Linked DNA regions of Rattus norvegicus. The protein of the gene in region 2 purifies or fractionates together with the protein of the main gene of each other region. This does not show direct contact. Links are inferred from orthologs where the notes say so. Each region holds a gene or a part of one and is shown on either strand. Other genes may lie near its edges.

Evidence for each region.
Region 1: the proteins of Rad9a (region 2) and Rfc5 purify together in Homo sapiens (affinity purification with mass spectrometry; 3 studies listed by BioGRID and IntAct, with this or other methods). This does not show direct contact. The link is inferred for Rattus norvegicus from reciprocal best matches to the Homo sapiens genes RAD9A and RFC5.
Region 3: the proteins of Rad9a (region 2) and Hus1b purify together in Homo sapiens (co-immunoprecipitation; 3 studies listed by BioGRID and IntAct, counting the BioPlex papers as one, with this or other methods). This does not show direct contact. The link is inferred for Rattus norvegicus from reciprocal best matches to the Homo sapiens genes RAD9A and HUS1B.

The regions. Positions count from the first base shown.
Region 1 is NC_086030.1:44,872,778-44,879,989, forward strand, and holds the end of Rfc5 (replication factor C subunit 5), read left to right. Parts: intron 1-914; coding exon 915-1,074; intron 1,075-1,618; coding exon 1,619-1,700; intron 1,701-2,002; coding exon 2,003-2,132; intron 2,133-2,604; coding exon 2,605-2,682; intron 2,683-3,608; coding exon 3,609-3,663; intron 3,664-4,506; coding exon 4,507-4,603; 3' UTR 4,604-5,102; downstream 5,103-7,212. Other genes in the region: Wsb2 (WD repeat and SOCS box-containing protein 2), read right to left, coding at 6,747-6,909. UniProt on the Homo sapiens protein: Subunit of the replication factor C (RFC) complex which acts during elongation of primed DNA templates by DNA polymerases delta and epsilon, and is necessary for ATP-dependent loading of proliferating cell nuclear antigen (PCNA) onto primed DNA.
Region 2 is NC_086019.1:210,916,293-210,922,350, forward strand, and holds the end of Rad9a (RAD9 checkpoint clamp component A), read right to left. Parts: intron 4,207-6,058; coding exon 4,097-4,206; intron 4,014-4,096; coding exon 3,904-4,013; exon of another isoform or gene 3,843-3,903; intron 3,830-3,842; coding exon 3,765-3,829; intron 3,679-3,764; coding exon 3,541-3,678; intron 2,816-3,540; coding exon 2,605-2,815; intron 2,519-2,604; coding exon 2,423-2,518; 3' UTR 1,678-2,422; downstream 1-1,677. Other genes in the region: Ppp1ca (serine/threonine-protein phosphatase PP1-alpha catalytic subunit), read left to right, coding at 920-1,143, 1,225-1,359, 1,460-1,570. UniProt on the Homo sapiens protein: Component of the 9-1-1 cell-cycle checkpoint response complex that plays a major role in DNA repair. The 9-1-1 complex is recruited to DNA lesion upon damage by the RAD17-replication factor C (RFC) clamp loader complex.
Region 3 is NC_086035.1:33,740,071-33,746,808, reverse strand, and holds Hus1b (checkpoint protein HUS1B), read right to left. Parts: upstream 4,120-6,738; 5' UTR 4,039-4,119; coding exon 3,208-4,038; 3' UTR 2,952-3,207; downstream 1-2,951.

The DNA.
Region 1 (7,212 bases), on a different chromosome or scaffold from region 2:
TTCCATCAGGAGGCACCATTTAGTCCAGTGATTCAGACAAGACTGCCCTGTAGGTAGGTCCCCTTCAGCACCCTCAAGATGGGTGGCCTCTGTCATTCAGTGGAAATAAGGCTTAAATCCCTTATCCACTGGCAGATCCTCTGTCTTTGGTAAAAGCTAACACCAGGAAAGACTGAGTGCAGGGGTGACCATGGTATGGGGTGAGTCCTGTGTTTTCCTGTGGAGTAGGGCTGGTGCCATCCTGTTGAAGACCCGTTGTGTGCAGCTCCTGCTAACACTGCTGGGAGGGAAGAACAGCTTCAGGAGCCTGGAAAAATGAGACCTGGGAGAGGGGAGCAGGATGTGTTCTGGTTCTAGCGTGTTGGCACCCTTCCTTCAGCATCTTGTTCTGCTGAGTGACTCGGTGTGGGCAGATCTGTGTGGGGACACTGGTCTCTCCGTGCTGCTGGCTCTTGCTCCCTGAATGCTCCTAGACTTTCAGACATGGGCTGCAGGGAAGTGTGCAGAGTCAGCTCAGACAAGGTGGGTCTCAACAACCTCAGACAGCATCTTGTACAGAGGGATGGGAGCTCTTGGACGGGGGGCCAGATCTTGAGGAAGAGTGCTAGAATTGTGGAGGTGATAAAAAGGTGCATTTGTGCGCTCTGATGGTGCGTGTCCTAGCTGTGCAAGTTGGGCGTGCTGACTCACACTGGACCGAGTCCACGCACTCCAGAGATGGGGGCAGGTGGGTCACCTGGAGTCTGAGCCCAGCGTGAGCTCCATATACACTGAGAGCTACACAGGATGGGGGCTGAGCTGAACTGTTGCTCATGTCCCATAATACCCTCTACCCCCACAGGCCACGTTCTCACTCTCAGTATCCTTAAGCTTCCCTGGGTCCTCTTATGTGAAGTGTTTGGTTTCTCTCCCAGTGATTGAGAAGTTCACTGAAAACACCAGGTTTTGCCTCATCTGTAACTACCTGTCCAAGATCATCCCTGCCTTGCAGTCACGGTGCACGAGGTTCCGATTTGGCCCTCTGACGCCTGAGCTCATGGTTCCTCGGCTAGAACATGTGGTACAAGAAGAGAAGTGAGTTTGTTTTAGAAGAAGGAAGAGGGGAGGTGTGGGGATTTGAGTGGCAGGGAGGTTGGGCAGAGTGGCTAATCGGAGGGAGTGTTGGCTACTGCCATCTCCTGTGGGCCCTGGATAGTCTGTCTCCTGAACCCTTGGTTCCACACCTACATTCCTGCAGGCTGTTCCCTCTGTTTTGTCTTGGGAACTGACTGTTGCTGAGTCCCTTTTTGCAGATGCTGCCAGCTGGCTGGAAGGGAAGGCTCTGCTCTGAGATCCACTCTGGGCCGTCAGATACCGAGCAGTGGCCTCTTCCCAGAAATGTCTCTTTCAGCAGCCACCTCCTTAAAGCCTTGGTCCATAGTAAAGCTCTGGCTGGATCCAGCTACTCATGTGACACACGTCCCTAAGCACTGCAGTAACTCAGATGTTCAGGAGAGTCCTGTCACCTCCGTTTTGATGTTTTCCTTCTTTTAAAGCTTCGTCACTCAAGGATCATACGGTTGATGAAATTTTGCTCTTTGCAGACAGCTTCAGTTAACTCTTACCCATTTCCTTTTAGCGTGGACATAAGTGAAGATGGAATGAAGGCCCTTGTCACTCTGTCCAGTGGGGACATGCGAAGGGCTTTGAACATTCTGCAGGTATGATCAGTCACACTGCAGGTTCTTCAAACCATTGCTTCAAAATAGTTTTCTAAGAAAGACAGCCAGCTGATCCACACATTCATTCAGAAACCTATTAAGATTCTCCTTGTCGTGCACCAGCTCTGCCTGTGCGCTCTAATGGGAAGTCCCGGTGCTGCTCTAAGCTATGGGAGGACGCTGCAGCTCTACTGCATGGGGCAGCATTCACAGTGGAGGGCAGCCCTCCCCACTGTCCTGGGCCTGTGTCATGTCACTGGCAGGACAGCTGCTGACAGTCCCTGGACCCCCTCCTCCTGCAGAGTACCAATATGGCCTTTGGGAAGGTGACAGAGGAGACTGTCTACACCTGCACCGGGCACCCACTCAAGACGGATATTGCCAATATTCTAGACTGGATGCTGAATCAAGACTTCACCACTGCCTACAAAAGTATCCTTTTTGGTGACTGTTGCCAGGTTCAGGCCTGGGGTGCGGGGGGCTCGAAGCCCAGGCTACAGCCAGCACCTATACCTGCCGGGTGACAGGTGTCAGCTGATGGGAAGCAGGTATCCCCAAGCAGAGAGCCCTTCTCCTCAATGGCTCCAGCCCAAGTGAGTGAGGCTGTATGTAGCTTCTCCGTTCACGGCAGTTAAATGGACTCATGACCTTGTTCTGCAGTTAAATGAAAGCTACAGGTGGCTGTGTGACCCTTCAAAGAGAGGTCTGCTCTGCTGTCTGAGGAATAGGGCTGTACTGTGTAGAAAAGCCTTATTGAAGGTAACGGGTCAAGTTAGAATTGGACCTGTGTACAGCTACTGGGATGAAGACCCCTATTTCCAGGTCGGCCTCCAGGGTCTGCTGTTGAAGCCTCCCCACAGCATGTTCTGGAATGGTTCCTCTCACCTTAGCTGCTTTTCCCTAGATATCATGGAGCTGAAGACTCTGAAGGGCTTGGCACTGCACGACATCTTGACAGAGGTTCACTTGTTTGTGCACAGAGGTAACTGGGCTGGATAGGAGGCACAGCTTTGGGATGGCCACAGAGAGCATAAGGTCTTAGCTCTTGAGCAGAAACAGGAAGAGGGTGACTGATCCTTAATCTTGAGCGGTTCTGAATGGCTTTGTTGCAGCCCCTTTTTAATACCTGGAGCTGCATAGAGGCTTTTTCCTAAAGGGGACTTTTTGGATAGGAAGTACTGTATCTTTCATTCTTGTTACATGCTCCCCATGCCAGGGACTGAATCCAGGGCCTTGTACATGTGAAGCATGTAATCTACCACAGGGCTGTATCCACACCCTTGCTTCTGGGGTCTGCACCCAGACACTTGGAAGTCACCTGTGTGCTCCTGTAAACTAGGCAGCCTCCAGGAAGCTGCCTTTCTGCTCCTGTTTACTGCCTTGTTTCAGCGATCAGTCTCAGCATGGGCAGAACCTGGGAATCACCCCAGACCATTCAGGATGAGGCAAGGGGATGTCAGCCTTTGGAAGAGGCCCTAGGGGCTCCTCCACATAGCCTTTTCTCCCAGCAGCCACCCCCAAATGGAGAGGCTCTCAGGTCCCAGGACTGTGAGCCTGTGTGGACTCTGTTGCTTAAGTTTGTCCTCTGGGTAACATGAGCCTTCTGGTTAGTTTACCTGGTTAGTGAACCTGGTTAGTGAGCTTTCTGCCACCTCCAATGGATAGGGTCTGAGGCTGCTTGGGATGGGGCTGTGTGTGTGTGTGTGTGTGTGTGTGTGTGTGTGTGATGGAACTCATCTCGTCCTGAGCTGCACCCCAGCCTGTGTGTGCTAGAAAGCAGTGGGGCCTACACCGGGCTCAGTTCATCGGTCTGGTGACCTACATGCAGTGGGTCGGAGGGATGCTCATGCTTGTCAAAAGTCCTGTGTGCGGGGGGATCCTGCTCATTAGATTCTGTTTTTCCCTCAGTTGACTTTCCGTCTTCAGTTCGGATGCATTTATTGACCAAAATGGCAGACATTGAGTGAGTGTTTTCCCATTTCAATTCTTTGGCTTTAGTTTCAGCTTCTGTGCCATTCACACATGGGGCAGTCTGGTTTGGGGTAGTGCCCAGTGCACTGTGGAGAAGGCTGTGTGCTGCCTCCAGAGCCCAGGGCAGCGGTGCGGAGGATGAGCACAGAGCGGCCTCTGCGCGAGTTGAGCCCTTGCTCTCCTCACACTGGGCGTGCAGACAGGAGATGGCCAGCTACTCTGCTTACTAAGGCATTGTGGCACACATGAGCACAGTAAACACTGTCACTACTCCCCAGTGACGCTGGCAGCTGTCATTTAAGTGGACAGCACACTGGGCTCCAACCAAATACTAGTATCACAAGTTCCAGGAGGCTGTCACTAGCTCATGTACACAAAGTAGGTCACGTCCTATCACTATTGGGAGTGATTTTGCTTTTAGTGGCCAGGCATTTAAAAGTAACAAGATGAGCTGCTAGTTCCTGCTTTACTGCCCTGTCATAAACCTCCAGCTCTCTGCTGCAATGCCACAACCAGAGGAGCATCTGCAGAGCTTATAGCACGGTCCCTAACCCTCACCCCATGCACCCTGCCTTCTGTGCGTAGAGGGAGGATGGATGCCGAGTGCAATTCAGAACCTCCTGGTGCTGAGTTTCTAATCTGCCCTCGGCAGCTTCAATCAAATGGCCAACTGAGTGCCAGGGAGAAGAAACTTGAAGGACACAGACCAGAGTCCTCACCAGGGTGTGTCTGTCAGCTCCAGTGCCTTTTGTGCAGGCTACAGTAGCTCCCACATTCTCGCCGATAGGCAGGGCCTAGCGTTTGCTTTATACTCAACTTGGGCTGTTCTCCCCAGGTACAGGCTCTCTGTCGGCACCAGTGAGAAGATCCAGCTGAGCTCCCTCATTGCTGCTTTTCAAGTTACCAGGGACTTGATAGTTGCAGAGGCCTAGAAAACCCAAGGCCTGAGTTGCAGAAGCCTAGAAACTTGGCCCTTGCTCAGGCCCATCGGTGACTGGAGGACAGAAGACATGCTGCCCTGGGCCAGTGGATAAAATCAGTCACAGACTTTTCTCCCCAGGCATTTAGATAGTGCTATCTGTGGCTGTTTGGAGCAGGGATCTACAGAGCAACTTTAATCTGGAAGAATCCATTCTGCTTGTCTTCTATAGGGGAAAATACCCCGCCCCGTGGAGAGGGCTGCTTTAAAGTCGTCACTGTCACTCTCTGGGATGACAAAATTGGCTGCAGTGTTCATGTGGAAACTGAGTGTGCTTCAGTGTCTCCCAACTCTGAATGGGTGCCAGGAGGATTCTGATCTAATGTTTTGTTAAGAATTTCAAAATCAGGGGTTGGGAATTTAGCTCAGTGGTAGAGCGCTTACCTAGGAAGCGCAAGGCCCTGGGTTCGGTCCCCAGCTCCGAAAAAAAGAACCAAAAAAAAAAAAAAAAAGAATTTCAAAATCAGTCTCTTCTGCCCCTAACCTCAGGACTCAGGAGGCCGAGGCAGAAGTGCCAGGCAGTTGGCAGTTGCAGGCCAGCGTAGTGAGACAGACCCTGCTTACCAGCAGATTCCAAATTCTATTGTGAAAATAGGAAAGAAATTCCAACACAGTTGGCCTTCAGACTGCGTGCCTGCCTTGTTGGGAAGGGATGGGGCAAACTTCCCTGTATTCACAGCAAGTACTCCCCAGTGAGAATAAAGTGTTCTGTGTTCTAATCCGCACTGGCCTGTCTGCCTGTGTTTCTGTTACCTTGGGACCAGACTTCCCTTGGGCTAGATGAGGGACTGAAGGCACCCAGTGCAATGTGCTGCATCTCAGGGGGAGATGTTTCAGCATGTGCTGTCAAAGGGAGACATCGGTTTTCTTGTCCATGGGGCGTTTGCTCCCCAAGTTCCAAGCTGAGTCTGAAGTTGTGGCCCTGTGGCCAGTGCTGGAGGCGGCATCTCAGCTGCATAGCGGCGCAGAGCCACCCACTGGTGCCCTCTCCTGGGCTTGGTCTAAAAGACGTCTTTGCTTCTTTCGTAATAGGAAAAAAAAGGACAGAGACAGGATTTTTTTTTTTCCTTTTTCTTTTTCTCTTTTCTCCCTTCAATGAAAGCCTCATTTGCAATGTACTTCTTCAAATAACAGAGGGGATCCTGTGCACACTGCAATGTTAGCACTGCCTCCATAAAGCATCAATTAAGAAAGGCCCAAGAGTAGGATGCTGTTTCTTTTAAAATAATTTAAAATATATTAACTTTCCTAAGGCAGATTTTGTGTGAGGCGTGTTGAATAGGTAGCTGCTACCGCTGCCAAAGAACGGTGCTTGGAAGGGGCTGTCTGTTCTGGGCAGTTGGAGTTGGAGGGTAAATCCCGTGAGGTCAAGCAGCAGAGACAACGCACGTGACAGCACAAGCCAGTGATGTCAACACTGACTCCACACGGCTAAGACTTGGCTCACAACTGGGCCACTTAGGAACCCTGGTTCTTAGAGACAATTGAGAAAACACAGTTGTACCTTAGTATCTGCTGAGAAAACACATAAATATGATGCTGATAGTGGCCGTCTGGCCGTCATGCAGTTGAGGAACACCTTGTATGATCTGATATACTCGCTTGTCCTTTTCTATACATGCACACCACTGTTGAAAGGAAAATAAAAGCCGGCTAGTGTTTGCTGAGGAGCACAGCCCAGTTTGTGTGCAGCTGAGTACGGAAGCAAATATCAAAGTCCCTCTCACCAGAACAGAGGGAACTTCAAACCATGCAGCTGCTGCCTGGAAATAGGCTGCAGGGACCCTACGTGGCAGGCACTTCCCAGTTAAGGGAGTGTGGACTTGGCCACCACCAGAGAGGCTCTGGAGCCTGCTTGCTTTTATTACCCACACGACTTCCACAACTGCACTTGGCTTCAACACAACTAGACTGACAAAGGCTGCTCACAACGGACGAAGGCGAGGTAAGGCTGGCACCACGGAAGTGGGATCACTCAGACCTACTTGCACATGCCATGGGGAGGAAGGTCCACACTGGTCCAGCGTGGTCTGCCTGGCTCCATCCTCGCCAGTCCCTTGTACTGGTTCTGCTGCAGGAGATGGGGGCTGGCACTGCTACAAAGTCCTGTACGTGAGGAAGTCTTTCATCTTCTTGGGGATTGGCAGTGCTAGGACTTGATACGTAGTCAGGAAACGTCGGAGGGCTTTCCTGCATAAGTGCTTCAGTGAGGACAGGACTCGCGGAGCCGTCCAGAACTGGACATGGCCATCTCTCGTCCTGAAACAACAGAGGCTAGTGCTTAGCAGCCCCAGAGAGCTGTTTTCATTATAGTGGACAGTGGTGGTTCTGGGTTGACCTGAAATGGAGACTCCAGAAGCTGAAGTGCGTCTGGACGAAAGAGACTTCAAACTCTGGGTAATGACTGCTGTGTGGTGGTGTCCTTAGAACCAGGATGTGACCCATGCCTGTGGTCCCAGCTGCTTCATAAGATTAATGTCGGGTGAAACCCAAACCCAGGAACTCAAGACTAGTGGGTTTTGAGACTTTCCAAAAACAATAAAAACACCCTTGATGACAAGA
Region 2 (6,058 bases):
ATATCCTTAGGGGCCTTGGAAAGTTAACAGAACTCTCCTGTTTCCTGGAGTAGCTCTCCTTGAATTTGGCTGTCACTTATTACAGGTCACCCACAGCCCAGTTTGTTTTTGAGACAGGGTTTTTCTGTGTTCTGGAACTCACAAGAGTTCTGGTTATCTCTGCCTTCCAAGTGATGGGACTAAAGGCCTGCACCACCTCACCTGGCTACACACCCCAGTTCGACTGCGCTTTCCTGTTGTGGTATTTAGCATGCTATAGGCAACTCATTCATCTCCTTCCCCCACGGAGGTCTACTCTTTTTTTTTTTTTTAAATATTTATTTTATTTATTATATATGAGTACACTGTAGCTGTCTTCAGATACACCAGATCTCTTTATAGATGGTTGTGAGCCACCATGTGGTTGCTGGGAATTGAACTCATGACCTCTGGAAGAGCAGTCGGGTGCTCTTAACCGCTGAGCCATCTCTCCAGCCCGTACTCTTTGTACTTCTAAAAGCTGAGGGATGGCCAGGTGGCGGTGGCATACAAAGGGAGTTCCCTGGGTTGGGGATTTAGCTCAGTGGTAGAGTGCTTGCCTAGCAAGCACAAGGCCCTAGGTTCGGTCCCCAGCTCCGGGAAAAAAAAATGTTAATACATAAAATATCCAATAAAAAAAAAACTGAAAAAACATATTCCTAAAAAAAAAAAAACAAAAACAAAAACAAAAAAAACAAAGGGAGTTCCCAGACAGCCAAGGCCACATAGAGAAATGGGGCCAGCAGGAATATAATGAACTCTGTTTCCCTAAACTTAAGGAGCCCAAAAGATGAACCCAGCGTTGGTGGGGAAAGTGGAGCTGACCCCTGAGACCTTTCTGGGCATGGGATAGTACCTGCTTTTCGGTGTAAGGAACACTATTCTCACTCTACCACCCCAGGCCTGTCTCCAGACTTGCAATCCATGGAGCAGATTAGACGTATTATGCGGCCCACGGACGTGCCTGACCAGGGCCTGTTGTGTGATCTGCTGTGGTCTGACCCTGACAAGGATGTTCAAGGCTGGGGCGAGAATGACCGTGGAGTCTCCTTTACCTTTGGGGCCGAGGTTGTAGCCAAGTTCCTGCACAAGCATGATTTGGACCTCATCTGCAGAGCACATCAGGTGGGCTAGTGGCCTGGGGCAGGCTGTGGGGATGGCTAGCTGCTTAACTTAAGAGACCAAATGGTTCCTGTCCTTGCCCAGGTTGTAGAAGATGGCTATGAGTTCTTTGCCAAGAGGCAGCTGGTGACACTCTTCTCAGCTCCCAACTACTGTGGCGAGTTTGACAACGCTGGCGCCATGATGAGTGTGGACGAGACACTCATGTGTTCCTTCCAGGTGGGTGTGGGAAGAGATCCTTATGCGCTCCTCCCAGGTGGGTGTGGGGAAGAGGCTGCCTGGCTCAGTGCCAGGACCTGATCAGGGTTCTCTCTTTCAGATCCTCAAGCCCGCTGATAAGAATAAGGGGAAGTATGGGCAGTTCAGTGGCCTGAACCCCGGAGGCCGTCCCATCACTCCACCCCGCAATTCTGCCAAAGCCAAGAAATAGCCTCCATGTGCTGCCCTCTGCCCCAGATGACGGATTATTTGTACAGAAATCATGCTGCCATGGGTCACACTGGCCTCTCAGGCCCACCCATCATGGGGAACACAGCGTTAAGTGTCTTTCCTTTATTTTTTAAAGAATCAATAGCAGCATCTAATTCCCCAGGGCTCCCTCCCACCAGCACCTGTGGTGGCTGCAAGTGGAATCCTGGGGCCAAGGCTGCAGCTCAGGGCAATGGCAGACCAGATTGTGGGTCTCCAGCCTTGCATGGCTGGCAGCCAGATCCTGGGGCAACCCATCTGGTCTCTTGAATAAAGGTCAAAGCTGGATTCTCGCCATGGCCTCTGTCTCCCTCATCCCAGATAGTGGGCCAGCAGTCCTTTGGTACAAAGCCACCGGGGAGGGCAGACAGTGGCTGGACATGGGCCCAGCCAGGGCTAGTCAGGTCTAGAGGCAATTGGGATTCTAAGCCAAGGCCCAAGTGTTAGGACCACAGAAGGGTCTGATGGGAGTTCATGATTGGCAGAGAGCGTGTGTTCAACATTGATCTTTTTTAGAGGCAGGTGAGCCTAAGGAAGCTTAAGTTTCTGGCTCTGACCAGATACTGTAGAGCCTCAAAGTAAGAGGTGAAGAATCTGTCAGGTGATAGCCGGGCACCAGAGTATAGGCTGAGTAAACAGACCAAACATGGTTGCCTAGGTAGCTCTGAAGCAGACAGCCAAGTGGGGCCTACCCAAGGCATAGACCTTTTCTCATGTCCTTTTCTCATGTCCAGAGACTAATGCCCAACTCTGCCTGTGGCTGGGCCTGCTTCTGGTCCGTGAGCCTTTGGACACAGACTTCAGTTTCTCAAGTTCAGCCTTCACCATCACTGTCTTCAGCCAGCACAGGGTTGGGACCCTGGGGGGAATGTATAGGGGCCAGGATGGAGCCAAAGAAAAGTGAACGAAACTGGAAAGAGAATAGAGAAAGCCTAGTTAGTTCTGGAAGCTGCTTCCTTCCTTCCCTCAGTTCCTATCCCAACCTTCAGCTTTTACCTTCTTGGGTGGGGGAGTCCCAGGCACTGTACTAGGCTCAGCTTCCTCCTCTTCCTCCTCTGAGGGAGGGGCAAGGTCATGGGAGGCCTGGGGAACAGGTGGGAGGGAAGTGGAAGGCTGTGCCCGGGAGCTCTCGTTGCCCACGGTGGTTTCCATGGCAATCATGTAACAGTCGATGTCATCATTGGTAAAGTCATCTGAGTGGGGTGTGCTGTAGGCAGAGATAATATCAAGAAGGTACAGAGAAAAAAGGGATACAGAGGCAGGCCCCACTTTGGAGGGCTCAGAGGAGGGCTTGAGGCCTCAAGACTGCTGGTGAGCTTTCAATTTTATTACTTCCTGATTTGGCTGGGAGGATAGGATGCAGGGGTTAAGTGGGAGCTTCCTGGAGGGGGTGGAACTGGAACCCCTTTGATCAGAGTTCAGGTAGGGGCCTGAGGGAGGATCCTGGGGCCAATTTAGCTCAGCTGGGGGAGGAAAGCAACAAGTCCTGTGAACAGGGCCACGTGGGGCCCAATCTCTCACCTTCCCAAGGGATAGGAGCTGGAGAGCTCAGGAGCCCAGGGATATGCTGGGCTGAGAGCCAGACCAAACTTCCTCTGCTTCTACTCTACTGAGCCCAGCCTCCCAACCCACCTGCCCTTCCAGCCACCTGCTTCTCTACACCAGGCGGCTCCCTGCCTCCCAGCAGCTTTCTTTCCTAGTCTGGAAAGAGGCTCAGAGGGGAGGCCTCAGCCAGAGAAGGAAGCCAGCAGGACCTTGGGGATGCCTCTATGGATGGGAGGGGTCTCAGTACAGCTGACCATTAAGGCTGGAAGCCCTGTAGAGGCTGGGCCTGACAGGAAGTATGCATGGGGGAGGTGCAGAAGTGAGAAGTAGCAGGCTCAACCTTAGTGTGCAGAAATGGAGGGAAAGTGAGGTAGTTAGCACCCTTACCTGTGTGGCTGCTTCTGAGGCACTGGCTGATGGGGCTTTGGGGAACACAGGTCCTGGGAACATGAGTCTTGCTCTAAAAGTGTGGCCAAGACAAAGTGGGCATCTAGCAAAGAGTCCTCAACGGTAAAGATGACTGGCCTGAGTGACAGAAAGGCTAACTGGGTTATCCTGCTCTGGGCATCCTAGAGCCCTACTTCCTACCCAGCCTAAAAGCCTGGAATTACCTGCCTGGAACATCAAAGTGGATAGTAAGAGGCAAATTTGCAGACTCTGCAAAGCTCAGGAGCCCCTGGGAAGGAAGAAGCAGGTAGTAAGAGCCTGTGTTTGGCTGAAAAGACCAGGTGACAGCCATAGTAAACTCACCCGAAATTCCTTGAGACAGAAGGTGACAGCTCTCCCTTCTGGGGCATGCAGCTGCTGGAAGTCCTCCTCCCCAATGCTCGTCTCAGTCACCATGGCCTTGCTGGTGCTATCTATGTGGCAGGCACAGAGGAGTTAACATCCTTGAGTCACTCCTAGCTCTTGTGCCCTCCTGGGACAGGTCTAACTCCCTCACCTGCCTCCTCTTCCTGGTAGCTGCGCAGGATGACGCGTCGGCCACGGCCAATGCCCAGGGTCACCTCAGTCAACGCAAGGGGAAAGGACAGAACCGCCTCTGCCAGAACCCTGTGACAAGGACAAACATCGGATGTGCACGAGATGCTTTGCCCACTCTTATGTTACTTGCCTGGTGAGAAGCTCTTAAGGCAGTGGAAGCGCAGACTAAGTAAAACCAAAGCCTAGACACAGCAGAGGGGCAGGCAAGGCAGGTTGCTGTGGGAGCAAAGAGCCTTTTGCTCAGGGACCCAGGAACGAGAGCTCGGAAGTGGGGGAAAGCAAAGCTGGGTACAGGACAACATTGCTGTTAGTCCCAGCTACTTTTTTGGGGATGGGTGGGGGTTGTTTTAAAACAGGTTCTTTACATTTAGCCCTGGCTGACCTCAAACTTAGCAATCCTTCTGGCCTTTTGACTCTACCCCCCCCACTTTTTAAGATTTCTTTTATTTATATGGATATACTGTAGCTGTCTTCAGACACACCAGAAGAGGGCATCAGATCTCATTATAGATGATTGTGAGCCACCATGCAGTTGCTGAGATTTGAACTCAGGACCTCTGGAAGAGCAGTCAGTGCTCTTAACTCCTGAGCCATCTCTCCAGCCCAACTCTACCTCTTAAAAAGAGCTGGGATGGGGTTGGGGATTTAGCTCAGTGGTAGAGCATTTGCCTAGCAAGCGCAAGGCCCTGGGTTCAGTCCCCAGCTCCGGGAAAAAAAAAGAGAGAGAGAGAGCTGGGATTACAGGTGTGCACTATCATACCCAACCCAGGGGCTCAACATATCAACCCAGGGGCTCAACAACACCCTGCACCCATACCCAGAAGTGGAACAGCGATAGGTCTTACTATATAGCTTGAGCTGGTCTTGAACTCACAGAGATCTACCTACCTCTTCTTCCCAATATCAGGGATTAAAGGTGTTGAACACCAACCCAGGCCTTGCCCCCATCTTCTAAGGATTTATAATGCTGAACGTTTATAGAAAAGTAACTCCTAGATTTGCCTCAAGACTATAGTCTTTGGGTTCTGTCCCTAGCATGAGATGGAGGTGGGGTATCTGGCATCTATATTTGAATTTTTTTTTTTTTTTGGTTCTTTTTTTCGGAGCTGGGGACCGAACCCAGGGCCTTGCGCTTCCTAGGCAAGCGCTCTACCACTGAGCTAAATCCCCAACCCCTATATTTGAATTTTTAAAACTTATTTTGTGACTGTGTGTGCTGTGGAGAGAAGAACAGCTCCGACGCTCTGGTGCACATGTGGAGACTAGAAAACCCATGGGAGTCCATTCTTCCACCATGTAGATTCTGGGGATTTAAAACCTGACAACTCAACCAGTCAGGCTAAAAAGAAACAGGCTTAACTGCTGAGCCACCATCCTGACTTCTATATTGAAACTATATGAGGAAGAGAAGCAGTTAGGGCTGGGAATTTAATTTAGCTCAGTGGTACAGAGTACCCAGCAAACACAAGGTCCTGGGTTCTGTTGCCAGTATTTAGGGGGGAAATAGCCCCTCCAAAAAGGAACTCTTATCACTATTAACAGACCCTGGGGAAGATGACACTGGGACCTGAAGGGACTTCAGTCTGAGAAATGAGTGGGACCTTGGGCTACTTGCATGCAGTGTCCAGCACAGGCAGGGGATGCTGGGAGAACCCACTGCATTCTGGGCTTCAGTGACCACCTTAATGTCAGCTGGAACACTCTCCTTGCCATGCCTTGTCTTGACGTGGGCTGTCGGGCTGTGCAGCAGCCCTCCTAGACTCCAGCTTCTTTGCCCAGGTCCTTCCTTTGGCCCAGAGTCTAGAGCCCTGGCAGTTAGGAAGAAGCCACTATAAGAGGAATATAACACTACCCGGCTGGAGAGATAGCTCAGTGGTTAAGAACACCCAACTGCTCTTCCAGAAGTTGTGAGTTCAATTCC
Region 3 (6,738 bases), on a different chromosome or scaffold from region 2:
CATCTACACAATGGAATATTACTCAGCTATCAAAAACAACGAGTTTATGAAATTCGTAGGCAAATGGTTGGAACTGGAAAATATCATCCTGAGTGAGCTAACCCAATCACAGAAAGACATACATGGTATGCACTCATTGATAAGTGGCTATTAGCCCAAATGCTTGAATTACCCTAGATCCCTAGAACAAACGAAACTCAAGACCGATGATCAAAATGTGAATGCTTCACTCCTTCTTTAAATGAGGAAAAAGAATACCCTTGGCAGGGAAGGGAGAGGCAAAGATTAAAACAGAGACTGAAGGAACACCCATTCAGAGCCTGCCCCACATGTGGCCCATACATATACAACCACCCAATTAGACAAGATGGATGAAGCAAAGAAGTGCAGACCGACAGGAGCCGGATGTAGATCGCTCCTGAGAGACACAGCCAGAATACAGCAAATACAGAGGCGAATGCCAGCAGCAAACCACTGAACTGAGAATAGGTCCCCTGTTGAAGGAATCAGAGAAAGAACTGGAAGAGCTTGAAGGGGCTCGAGACCCCAAAAGTACAACAATGCCAAGCAACCAGAGCTTCCAGGGACTAAGCCACTACCTAAAGACTATACATGGACTGACCCTGGACTCTGACCCCATAGGTAGCAATGAATATCCTAGTAAGAGCACCAGTGGAAGGGGAAGCCCTGGGTCCTGCTAAGACTGAACCCCCAGTGAACTAGTCTATGGGGGGAGGGCGGCAATGGGGGGAGGGTTGGGAGGGGAACACCCATAAGGAAGGGGAGGGGGGAGGGGGATGTTTGCCCAGAAACCGGGAAAGGGAATAACACTCGAAATGTATATACTCAAGTTAATAAAAAAAAAAAAAAAGACTTATTTTTTAAATTTAAGTTATCTCAAAATAAAGTTAAAAAAACAATGTTCTGATATAATTTTGAATTAAAACATAAATGCAACAGATTAACATCCCATTCAATTCACGTCAACTAAAAACTCATGAGAAATATATTTATATCTAACATTGACCAAATACACAAACAAGTGGCCAATAAACTGATTTTAAATAGAGAATATCAATAGGCTAACAGTTAATAGTTAATTTTATATAAAATGGCATTTTACAAATAATTATTCTTTTAAAGGGATAACTATTGCTCTCTTTTACTAGTCCTCTAAAAGAAGACATAATAGTGTTTCAAATACTTATGCATATTCCCGGAAACTATAATGTAGAATTTAGCCTGGTAATGGATTAATAAAAAATTAAGGACATACATGGGGGTTTAACAACTCTTTTAGTGAATAATTATGTTGTTCCAAAGATACTATAACACTTACTGTACAGAAAATAGACAAGGAAAGATTAGATAAATAACTTGTTTCATGGATTAACATCCACAAACCAATTCTTGACAAAGGTAAACTCTCCTTTAATTGGCATGGAAAATTGAGTTCTCTGAGTGAATAATTAGCTTACTGACACTGTTGAAATTACAGCCCAAATTGGCTTCTTTGGACTACTTTGAGAATCTAGTCTAGTTCACATAGAACTTAGAACCAAGTTTCTAAGTACAAATGTTCTGCTTTCCCTGTTGCCAAAAAACAGTAGCATGACATCTTAATGAAAGTGAGGAATTACCACTGCCATTATAGAGAAAAGTTGTCTAACAGAAATGTTACTGCTGGTAATCATTGAGAATGGTGACTTTGATTAGCAGAAAGGGATGTGCTGGTATTCACAAAGTTGAGAAAGAAGAGATCTGAATAAACTAAACTCCAGAGATGTGCAATGAATTATAGGACAGCCAACCCTGACGTGCTTACTGCTCAAGCATAAGGATCCAAATTCAATCTCCAGAAGCCATGATGAAAACCAACAAATCAAAACAAACAGAAAAGTGTAGTGGCATACATTTGTATTTGGGGAGGCATAAATAAGCAGATTCTTAGAGACCACTGGCTGGCCAGCCTACCCTACTTGGAAAGCTCCAGGACAATAAGAAACCATGGCTCTAAAGACAAGATCCTGAAAGGCTTGTTCTCTGGTCTCAATACACTCTATGTAGAAACACACACATGCACGCACACACATGCACGCACACACACCATATATGTGTATATATTATACATACACATATTCTTTATTATAGCTTGAAATTTATTTCTCGTTTATATGAAATACAATGGAAAAAGCTAGAAGACATGGCTCAAATGAGTATGCAGTGATCTGAATGAAATTCCTCACAGTCTCCATCATCGGAATACTTGGTTTCTGTTAGTAGTGCTATTTGGGCAAGGTTTAGGAGGTACAGCTTTTTTAGAGGAAGTATGTCATAGGACTTTGGGGTTTTAAAACCACATGCCATTCCCAGTTAAAGCTCTGCTTCATACATAAAATCTAGGGTTTGAGCTCTTAGCTATTCCTGTACCATAACTGTCATATGCTGCCAAGATTCCCTACCATGATGTATTCTTATTGCTCAAAATACCGTAAGCCAGAAAACCCTTCTTTCTGTAAGTTGCATTTGTCATTGTGTTTAAGCTTACTAACAGAATCACAAAGCATGCCTGTGTTACACCACAGACACACACACATACACATAGCCTGAAGATGCTGAAGCTTTCCCAAAACAGCTTTTACATATAGTCCTCACACTTAAATAGTCACCAAACCAAACAATCCTATGCTTCCAACTCAGAAGTGAGAAAGTAAATTGTTTGAGAGTTTAAACTCTCTAAAGTGGCTATTCCCCAGTAATGTTAAGACTTCCACTGAGAACCTTCAGAAAACAGTTATCTCTGAATATATGATATACATACAAAAATTCATCTTATACCTTTAGAGACTGAGATCATTAAGTCTCTCAAAATAATTTATGATTATTTTAAAAGGAGAAATTTCTCATTCTTCACAATATTTTTCATAAAAAATAATATAATTGTTTCAGGATTCAGTTAATTGTTTTATTACAATCCTTTATTCCCAAACAACTAAGTTGAATGTAAGGTAATGGTCAAAGCCAAAAAGCAATCACATGAACTTGCAATTATTTCTTAACAATTTACAAAGGAAGCACTCAACAAAATCAACACCCTACAAAATCCACAGGGTTGCAAGCTTTTAACGAAAGTAACTCAAAGTCTCAGTTCTGGAAAGAACTTAAATTAAGATTTCTTTTAAAAAGAAAATTAAGGCTGCTTGAAATTCATGAGGCAGGAATAAAATACTGAAGAGAAATATCTTCGTGAACCAAAACAAGATGAAGTAGGGTATTGCTCAAAATATTACATAAGGCCATTGTGGGGTTTATCTGCTGTCCGTCAAAAAACCGTAGAAGTTTCCTATTATCCACCCGTACTTGTACCATGTTGTCTGGGTCTTTGCCTTGAGACATACCCAGAACGGCATTTGGAGGACTTCCAAGATTTCTAAAATAGCTTTTAATAGTCACTCCATCAGTTTCTACACTCAAGTTCATTTTGCCTTTTAGATTTGCTTCCACCAGCACGTGACTGCCCACATTTGCCATCCTTTCCACCATGTTCTTCAAGGTCTTCATAGCAGGCAGATAAACACTCACGTCAGAGCCCCGAACATGGGGCTCTGTGCATTCTTTCCACCACCTTCTGGGAAGTACCCTCACAGGCAGATCGTGGACCATAGCGCGGGTGTGGCCGGGGCACGATGCCAGCTCTACCACCACAGTAAGGCAGGGGCGCAGCTTGTTGGTGAGCTGCAGCTTCAGGGATGAAGCGTTGCTTGCATTCCTCACGGCTCTGGCCAGATGCTCAGACGTTAGCTCTAGATAGATTTCATTGAACTCCTGCGAAACACCCTCCATGCAGAAGTGGTGGAAGACATTCCGCCTCACCTCACCCCACAGCTTGGCCTCACTCAGCAGCCCCATTGGACAGAAGCACAGCCTGTCAGGGCACACGCGGAGCACACAGACCTTCGTCAGCTTTGCTATGGTGCTGTTGACCTGTATGAAGAGCTCTATAAAACGCTTGCTGGTGATCCTGGCCCGAAACTTCATGGGGCCTAGGTGGTAGAGGGAGCGCTGTGAGGAAACCGCTGCCAGAGTAGTCAGCTGGCTCACTCTTCCGGCCCGGAGTGTAACATGCTTAACCTTCCGGCCTGGGGCGCAACCGCCTCACCTACCATGCCTGGGGTGCGTTCTACTGCGCCTCCCCCCTGCCCCAGCACTGCCTATACTTGGGTTCCACATCCCTGCAGGTCCACTTCCACCTGAGGACACCTAGGTCAAACACTATAGGGTGATGCTTAGGGCGGTCTCTGGACCCATCTTTACCTTCCCACATACCTGCCCTATTTGAATACGTCACTGCTTCTGATCTGCTCATAAGAAGGTCACTCTATATAGTGTGACCACAATTTAAAGTACCACTGAAATAACCAACCCTTTTAAAACATTTGTTACATATATATACCTAATATATATTATAGTTTTGTTCAGTACAGATATTACTTGCAGATGTTAGTTACTACATGCCTTATAAACAATGTGATACACTAGACACATTTTATTTGCACCTAAAATACATACATAATGGATATCATTCCATACCATTAAACACTAACAAGTCTATCATTTTCATGGCTAGTTTCCCAGTATATTGATAAAAATAATTATTTCACAAGAGGAATTCACATGATTCAATTTTGACCTATTACTGGAATAATAAACATCTGTTATACAAAATACATTTACTTTTGTCAGTATTTACTTGTGTTAAATTTAAAGGGGAACTCTTGGTCATAGCATGTACATATAAAACTCTTCTGTTACCAAACTGTCCCAGAGAAAATTCTATCAACATACCTTCTGTCAGTAGCGTCATATAACAATCTATTTTGTATGTAGTGATATGATAAGTAGAATAACATGGCTTCAACTTGCAATGTATGTATGTCAACTTTACATTCCTTGTATGTAGTTTGTTGCTTGCTTTTTAAGATCTCTGATAGGACCAGGCTGGTGACACGTACCAATAATTTCAACACTGGGGCCAAAGGCAAGAAGGAAGGATCACAAGTTTAAGGAAAGTTAGAGTTACATTCTGGGCCAGTCAGAGCTATACAGTGAGATTTTTTATCTCAAATAAATAAATTAATAACAAAAGAATAAAAACTCTGGCAAGAACATTAACCCTCTGTCCCTGTAAATATGGTCCAGATAAGTCTTTGGTTTTCATATTATTTATGATGTTCTTTGCCCTTAAGAAAATACTACATCTGTGTATGTGAAATGTATTTGTCTTTTCTCTGGTGCTCCTGGAGTCCTGACCCATGTGAAATACAGAGGATGCAGCTGGAACTTCTATATTTATTCTATTACAGCAGGATGTCTGCTCGGCTCCTTCTTCAACTAGGCAGGGCCTCCAAGATGATGGCCCAAGTCTCTGACTAAGGTGTCTTAGAGACCAGGATCTGACTGGTTTCTTCATCTTACTCCTGGCCCAAAGCAAGTCCTCAATTTCATCCCAATCTTAGCTTGAAGGCAGCAGCATCTCAGCTAGGAAGTCAGAACAATCAGTTGCTTCTGTAAACTTTCAGTTCCTCTTTTGTCTTATTTACTGTTCCATTGCCGTGAAGATACATTATGACCAAGGCAAGTCTTTTTAAAAAAGCATTTAATTGGGTGCTTGCTAACAGGTTCAGAATTAGTTCACATGGTGGTAAGGCAGTAGCTAAGAACTTTATATCCTTGACCCACAAAAGGAGGGAAGGAGGGAGGGAGACAGAGACAGACTAAGAAACAGACTAAGAGATAGACTAAAAGACGCAGACTAAGAGAAACAGACAGAGACAGAGACACTGGGCCTGGTGTGGACGTTTCAAACTTCAAAGCCTACCGGCAACAACATACCTCCTCCAACAAAGCCATATCTCCTAACCTTCCCAAACAATTGATCAACCAAAAACCAAGCACACACATATGAGCCATTGGGGGCCATTCTCATTCAAACCATCATACTCTTCATGACCACCATTTGCTCATGGGTACCCTCAGGATTTCCTCTAATAAACTTCTCTCTCTGGTGATGGCATTATAGAGGGTCAGGTATTTCAAGCTTTCAAGCTTTCATACACCACAGACACAAGGGAATGTGTGACAATCCTGTCTGCTTCTGCATTTATGCTATGTTCTATCCATTAAGAGGCAGGGACCCAGTGATCACCATATAGAGGATGAATCCCAGACTTACTGTTACCTCCCACTGGGCCCTTACACTTTTTGGTCCCTGTTTCTCCAATGCTAGGATTACAGGACATCCACAACTGAGCTTCTTCTAGTTCTTTTGCAAGTCAACGATCAATTAAGATGCCGTCTGTATTGTTCCATAAGATGAGTTCTGGATGCAAGCATGCCAGTTCCTTAGAAAGGAAGTAGGAGCCAGTCACCTGCACCTTTCCATAACCCAAGGACAACAAAGTAACAACAAACTGCAACATAGCACACCAAGTCATGTAGTGGTTTGCCTTGAAATTATCTGTATTTTGATGCTAATTCCACTGCTCCAAGGACAGCTGCCTAGTCACTACTTAGGAATCAGGTGACTTCACCAGAACCCTCTCCCCATTGAATCTGTAAAGTACAGGTGAGGGGCAGGTACAGGATAGAAGGAGGTCTGTCATTGGAGGAGAAGGAAGGTGGGCGGGAGAGAAGTTTGAAGGAATAGGAGGAACTAGGAGAGAGAGTAAGAACTAGACA